Elephas maximus indicus: one gene and its partner. The protein of the gene in region 1 interacts with the protein of each later gene in a biochemical or structural test. Links are inferred from orthologs where the notes say so. Each region holds a gene or a part of one and is shown on either strand. Other genes may lie near its edges.

Region 1 (3,748 bases):
CGGGCGTGTCAGTATCAAAGGCTCTGGGGGTCGGGCCCTGGCGTCAGGCGCTGGCTGGAGTGGGGGCGGCGGGGACCCTCTCCTTGCCAGCGCAAGCGAGAACTGCCCAAACGCAGTTCCCAGCTTCACCCCATCTCCGCGGCGGCTCGACTCTGCTGGGCCGTCCGATTCTCCAGCTTCCAATAGCCTCACTCTCATAGACCCTTCGGAGCCCCCTAACCCTTCCCAAATTCCGTTGGACTTCCCGGGCCCGATTTCAGATAAGACGGGCGGCGGGAGGCTGCTACTTCCCCCGCCCCCCATCCTCGGCTTCTCCCTGGGCTGCGGTGGCCGCCACCGCCGCCAGCGCGTCCCGCGGACTGCCGCAAACCCGGGCCCAGGGAAAGGGGTCAGCGAGGGAGGGCGCGAGGAGGAGGCCGAGGGAAGGCAGTGGACAGAGGTGGAGGGAGGGGGCGGGAACGGAGGGGCGAGGCGCGGAGGAGGGACCAAGAGGAAGGGAGGGGACAGAGAGGGGAGGGGAAGCGCGAGGCTGGGGGCGGGGAGCCAGGCGAGAAGCCGCGCGGACCGAGGGGGAGGCGGCAGGGGCGAGGCGCGCTCGGAGCTGGCGATAAGCTGCTGCAGACTGGGGCTGAGTCGGGGAACCGCCGCGGGACTTCCCCGCGAAGGACCCAGCCAGAGCCCGCCAGGCCGGGCCGAGCTGCGGGGCCGAGGAGTGCGGCGACAAGCACCTCCGCGCGGGGCAGCGACCTGGGAGCCCCGCCGCCCACTCTGCGCCACCCTAGCTAGCAACCGCCCGCCGGCCCCTCTGTGATGTTCGAGGGACCTAGGCATCCAGGACCGTGACTGAGCGAGCCCGAGGATGGGACGGCGCCCGCAGCTCCTGCTTGTCAAGGTAGGAGCGCGCAGGGCAGCCCTCGAGCCTGGCGCCCCCGGCCGCCGGCTGGCGCGGGGCGGCTGGCAGGGGTGGATGCGGGGAGCGCGGGGCAGAGAGGTGCCCGGGTCCGGGGCAGCGGAGGTCTGAGGAGCAACCGAACTCCCGGGACCGGAGCCGGGGCTGGGTGGGTGGGGGAGCTCAGGTGAAAAAAGAAACCGTGTGGCGACACTGCCGGGATGCTGGCGGAGGAGGTTGCCCGCCCACCGGCGGGAATGGCTGGGTGCGGAGACTCGCTCCAAGCTGTGGGGGCTGAAGCTCGTTTCTACGTCCCATCCCGCCCATGCGGAGCGCGGCCATGGGATAGGAGGCTCTGGAGGTGGGTCCCCACCCTGTTCCTAGCACCCTTTTATCGGCTCCCCTACTCTGCACGCCCCAGCCTCCAGTCCTGGGACCTCCTCCCTGCCCCTTCGGCTCTGCGGAAAGCGGCAAACCCAAGGAGATTAATGTCCCTCGCGCCTCCGCCGAGCCCTTGATGGATATCGCAGCCTCCGGGGAGGGGACGGTGTCTCCAATGGTGGGGCGAGCTCCTCCGCCGCTGCTGGCCGGCCGGGAGCGGCAACCCGGGAGCGCAGCGCTTGTTCTCCGAGCCTTTGCACCGGCAGGTCCCGGCGCTGCTCCGCCGGCCGCGTCTGCTCGTTCCTGCCCCGGGCCTGGCGACGCGATTTCGGGCCCCGGAGTTTAGGAAAGTGGCCAGGTCGCACGCCTAGCGTCTGCCGGCTGAAGTTCCGGGGCGGCGGAGCCCTGCCCGCGGGCGGTGGGAGCCGACGATGGGCTGGGGGACAGACAGGCCCGCCACTAGTGACAGCCGCCGCTTCCCCGCGCGGGGCGCTTCCCAAAGCGTTTCGGCTCCCTGGGTGCAGGCACGTCTGCAGCAGCGGGCTGGAGAATGGGTGGGCCTCGGGCCATCGCCGGGGAGCCCAGCGCTGCGCTCGCCAGCTCACCGCGTTGCCGCGGATCTCGGGACTCCGCAGGGTCGGTGTGGACCCTCTGAGCCGCCAACACCAGTTAACCAGGCTTGGTGCATTTAAAAGCGATTTCATTCAAAAGAATGGAATGGATTTGGGGGAGGGGTGCGGATTGATTGAATTTTATTTTTCCATCCGTTATTAAACCAACTGTGCGTATACCGGCTCACAAAGTGGTTTCATTGAGTTAAACCACCAAGCTTTTAAAACAAATTGCTGTGGCTCAGCAGCTGAGACGTTCCCAGTTATTAAGGGTTTTCCTTTCCTCTTCCCAGCCCAAATATTTTATCAGTGGTTGTTTAAAAAAAATGACACAAGGTTGGTCAGATGGAACCCATACCTTCCCTCCCCCCCGCCTTTAGCTGAGGGCTGGGGTGAACCCAGGGAATATTTTCTGCGTGATCACCCAGACCTGGCAAGACAGGTAGAAAGAAAAATACCAGAGAGGATGAATGGATGGCATTCGATGGGAACATTTTCCAAAAAGCTCCTGTGTACCAAACCTTGGTCTAAATTCACAAATCAGACTGAATTCAATCTTTTACATGGATTCAAGGGATGGAACAAAAGCCAGTGGTTTTGTTTTGTGACCCCCCCCCCCCCCGCCCCAAGTTTACTTGGTAATAGGTAAATGTTCTTTCTCTGGCTTTTCTTAGAACTGTATTCAAATCTCTATTTATAATTATCAGGTTGTACTTCTTTCTTTTTTTATTTTTTTACCAGATAACGGGGTCTGTGCCCTTTGTGTCTGGTCTAATGAACTCAGTAGGTGCTCAATCAATGCTGACCCAATGCAGGGCAGTGAGTGAATGGAGGGTTAATGCTGGCTTCAATTCAATACTTGCTTGGTTTTTTTTTTCTTTTATTTATGTAGCATGTGCAAGTTGCAGGACAACGTTCTACCTGCATTGCAAATATTATCATTTTATCCGCATAACAGCCCTAGGAGGTAGGGAGTAAAACCCCATTTTTATAGAGGAAGAAACTGAAGTAAAGAGAGGCTAAGTAACCTCTCCGAAGCCACACAGCTAGTAATTGATGGAGTCAGAACTCAAACTCCAGCCCTAAGACTTTGTTTTGTTAGCTTTTGCCAGAAAACATTCTAAACCACTTCTGTCTCACTTTAGACCTGCACCAGATGAGAGCTCAGTTTGCTTTGTGAGTGTGAATCTAGGGAAGTTATGGAAAATCCAGAATCCGGCTCTGTCCCCAACAAAGTCTGGCTCTGTCGGCCAGTTTTGGGAAAGGATCCACTCTGGGCCTAGCTCCTTACCGGAGTCCCTGGAGGCTCGCATCCACCCGAACGTGTTTTGGAAGAAAGACCTGGTGACCTTCCTCCTAAAAATCAGCCGTCGAAAACCCAATGGAGACCAGGTCTACTCTGACACACATGGGAACGACCCAGTAGCACCTGTTTTTTTTAAAAAACACTGTACCGGTTACAGTGTACTGCGGGAGAGTGTGTGTGAGCGTGTACGCATGAGTGACAGTGTGCGTGTGTGTGAGTGTACCTGAGTGAAAGATGTGTGAGTGGGAGTGTGTATGGGAAGAGCTGCGTATGAGTGTGTACTGAGGGTACATGTGTGTGAATGCGGGAGCAAGAAGTGCTGTGAATGTGCATGAGTGCATATGTGTGCGTGAAGAAGAGGTGTGTGTGTGTTGGAGTGTGCTTGATGAGAAAGAGCTGAGAGAGATGAGTGTCAGTGAGGGGGAAGAGAGAGGTGAGATATTTTCTCGACCCCCAGGGGAGGGTTGGGGTCATCTACCCACCAGCTGCAGCTCCCCACAGGGAGACCCAAGTATGGCTCAAAATTGTGGTTCCAGTGATTGTGAGGGGCAGAGAAGGCAC
Region 2 (3,748 bases), on another chromosome or scaffold:
CCATGAGTCAGAATGGACTAAACGGTAACTGATTTGGCCACATGTTACTCTAAATATGTCCCTCACACCTTTAAGTCTCTTGTAAGAAAGTTTGTTTGAAAGCAGGGAACTTGGTTTAGCATCTGCCATATGCAAGTAGTTGTAAAGTTCGGAAACTAATTCAGTTGAAATGTACTGGAATTCTAACGTCACCTATCTCAGCTCTTTTATAAAATCTATATAAAGCCAAATGTTCTGTGATCTTGCAAATACTGACATTTTCCCTTTTTTAAATTTTGTATTCAAATATAAGGGAAATTAGAAATATAACTACCTCACCAATAAATTGGTATGGATAATAAAACCCAGTACCGTCGAGTCGATTCCGACTCATAGCGACCCTATAGGGCAGAGTAGAACTGCCCCACAGAGTTTCCAAGGGGCGCCTGGCAGTTTCGAACTGCCAACCCTTCGGTTAGCAGCTGTAGCACTTAAACACTACGCCACCAGGGTTTCCAGGTATGGATAATGTCACTGACACGGCACAATCTCCAAAATATAACAATTTCATATACTATAGGACAAAACATTCTGTAATGAGAATTTGCTTGGAAATACAGCACAATATACATATTGTTTGAAAAAAAACTATTTTTGAAAACTTTAAATGTCTTTCCCCAAAATTAAATAGCATATTAACATATGCATCAAACTAACGCAACCCAAATATCTATTAATCACCTTATGGATCAGGCCCAGGGTTCCACAAGTAAAGGTTTTGAATATGTGTGTCCCTAACAGTCCTAGCATCTTGTAGGCATGCTTTCTCCACAGTGAGTTTCCACCACAAACAATAGTTAAAAGCATCGCCCTAAAACATACACACACACACACACACTTATAAGTGAGACCAGATTTGTTTGAAAAAAAGAGGAGGGGGCTCTATTTAGATACATGTCCTGATAGATTTATAATAACAAGTGCATCTATTAAAATATCTGCCATATCACAGTAAGGGATAAGAGTGGGAATTATCACCAAAGACACTTTCCATAACATGAAATCTGGAGCTACGCAGAAATGGGGAAAACAAAGACACGTATTGATGTTAATGATGAGTTCTCATGCATGTAAATTAAAAGAAAAAAATATTTACTAATACACAAAATTTTAAAAGCCAAAAATGATAAAGATATACATAAGAATTTTATTCTGGGTCATATTTCCCACGGTATCTCAGGATGCAAATCTAATATTAATCCGCATGTCAATTTTGCGGAGGTGTCCAACTCAGTAACAGAATAAAGACTAGAAAGAAATGGTTTAAATAGTTTTATATTTGCCCTCTCCTTTCCACTTCAAGTAACTTTCCTCTGTGGACTAGTATTCTTTATGCTGTATGACTTCAGCATAAAACAAGTGATGAAGGAAATGTGTGTCCCTGCATTTTCATCGCCAGCATGGTATTGGGAACAGAGTCACAGTAACGGTCCCCATGATGACAAAGCCAGCTTCTTCTCCCTTCATTGCCATCTACTCTCACCCTACCCCTCAGCACTTCAGCTATCATGGTACCAGCCGTGACCGTCAAGTTGCCAGAGTGAAATCCATACATCCTGCCATAGTCATAGCTAGAGTTATCTGGAACAGGTGAGGGACTGAGGTGTCACATGATTTTACACACCTGATATACCTGTAACTAATTTCTCTAGAAATTAGTTCCTCTTAAACTAGACAGCAGTGTGGAAAAAAGATTAACACTTGAGCTTGGAAAATTTGGGTGTTTCAACCTAAATTGTCTCATGTAGAAAATAAACTGCCTTAAGTCTTCACTGAAGTTTGTCCACCTGGATGCAGCCTAAGTGACTGTTAGTGTTCTCTTTATCCATTAAAATCAAAAGGCCAGTAGTACTTCACCTGTCACAAACAAAGTAAAATTAAGACATAGGTAATGACCTTCTTCCAGAATTAAAAAATACTGCTGAACTATCTGGTGCTACCCAGGAACAAACTTTAACCAGAACTGTGTTTACATTAAACTTCATTAAAATCCATAACGGAATATCTCATACACTTTTAACTTTTGTTTATAAATGAGTTTTATAACACCTCCGATGAAATTGCCCAGATACAGGCATACACTGCCCAGTACAATGCTGGTGAATACAAACTTTTTTAAAACTAAGTTACTATAGATAGAATCCTGCTATGTAGAACATACCGTATTTCCAAAATCCCTATGGAATGTGTTTCAATTTTTACAAAAGTAGCAGGAAGGAATAGGTCTTACCTATGGTTTCCAACATTTTTTTCAAAGTTCAGTTATCTTCTTTGCGATGATTAAAAACAGCAACTAAAATGGACCACTGAGAATAAAAGAAATAAAGCAAAATTGTTATATTTATCAGAACTTTAAAATTTTATTCTAAAACTAAGTACTCTAAAAAGTACTTGATAACTACTGCAATCCTTTGACCATTAAAAATTTGTTGATTTAACTTTAGATGTTCTTTATAGGGGAAAAAAAAAGTTAATCATTTTAGGGCTTTTTCAAAATGATCTTATAATTATGAATAATACTTGCATAAAAAAGTACAAGGCATATAATCTTTTTTAAATAAGACGGTAGAAGTTTCCAAAGTATTTCCTTAAGAGCTTCTCAATATAGACTGCTATTATCTTGGATTCACTTTTAGAACCTTAACCATACAGTAAGGAGCTTACTGCTGCTTCAGAAATTTTGTGGATGAAAAGATCAAAAATGTAAAAAAAAAGACAATGTAATTCTGCTCTCAAATGCTCCCAGTCTAACTGGGGAGACACAGATAATAATTAGGAAAGAACTGTGACACTCAAGCACTGCATGAACCACTGGAAGATAACACACTAAATCAGGGAAGCGAGCCTTGGTGGCATAGAGGTTAAGAGCTTGGCTGCTAACCAAAAGGTCAGCAGTTCGAAACTACCAGATCATGGAAGAGAAACTGAGTAAAACAGAGTCCAGTGTTAGAGAAGAGGATTTTTCAAAATACCCCCCATGATTATAATATTCTCCTCTTTCCCATTCAAAAATTCTTCTCAGCTCCTACAAACCACACCAGTCTCATCTTTCTCTCTGACATTACTTAACTGAACTCTTTGAAGCATCAGATACTGATCTGCACTGGCAATGGTCGTACCGCTAAGTCCATCTTCCATCTTTGTGGTCCAACAGCTTTCCACACCTGTCTCCATATTAACACTTATCCTTTGCCTTACAGAAAACCGTGAGTCATCAGGAAGTCAGTCTGCCATTACTTCAACAGGAAGAAAAAGAACCTACCACCATATATCCCCATTCTTCATCTGGATGATGAGACAGGGAGAGAACTTCTCCAAAAAGGAACAAGTTACCCCACATTACATATTTAAAAGAGAATATATTTGGGAAAAGGGAAGTACGTAACATATATGAGCAGAGGCACAGAACTTCAATGTATCCATTAGCTCTGTGTAATAATACAGAACAGTATTTACTGACTTTCCTTATCCCAATTTAGAATACACTAATTAAAACATCAAATAGCCAAATGGCTCAACTATTGGCACTTGTTATAGAAAGTGCTTCGCCATCAAGTAAAGATGACTCTGGCTTAGAATTCAAATCTAAATAGCAGTGTGACCTTGACCAAGTGGTCTGCCATCTCAACCTGTTTTATAGATAACAAACTTCCTCACTGGGTATAGTGTGCTAAATGAGTTAAATTATTTCCAGCTCACAGCACAACCC

What was found. The genes of interacting proteins can lie anywhere in the genome.
Region 2: the proteins of CRHR1 (region 1) and MPDZ form a complex in vitro, tested with the Homo sapiens proteins (2 studies listed by BioGRID and IntAct, with this or other methods). The link is inferred for Elephas maximus indicus from reciprocal best matches to the Homo sapiens genes CRHR1 and MPDZ.

Annotation. Positions count from the first base shown.
Region 1 is NC_064837.1:52,548,034-52,551,781, forward strand, and holds the start of CRHR1 (corticotropin-releasing factor receptor 1), read left to right. Parts: upstream 1-819; 5' UTR 820-859; coding exon 860-892; intron 893-3,748.
Region 2 is NC_064827.1:23,296,378-23,300,125, forward strand, and holds the start of MPDZ (multiple PDZ domain protein), read right to left. Parts: upstream 2,346-3,748; 5' UTR 2,286-2,345; coding exon 2,270-2,285; intron 1-2,269. UniProt on the Homo sapiens protein: Member of the NMDAR signaling complex that may play a role in control of AMPAR potentiation and synaptic plasticity in excitatory synapses. Promotes clustering of HT2RC at the cell surface.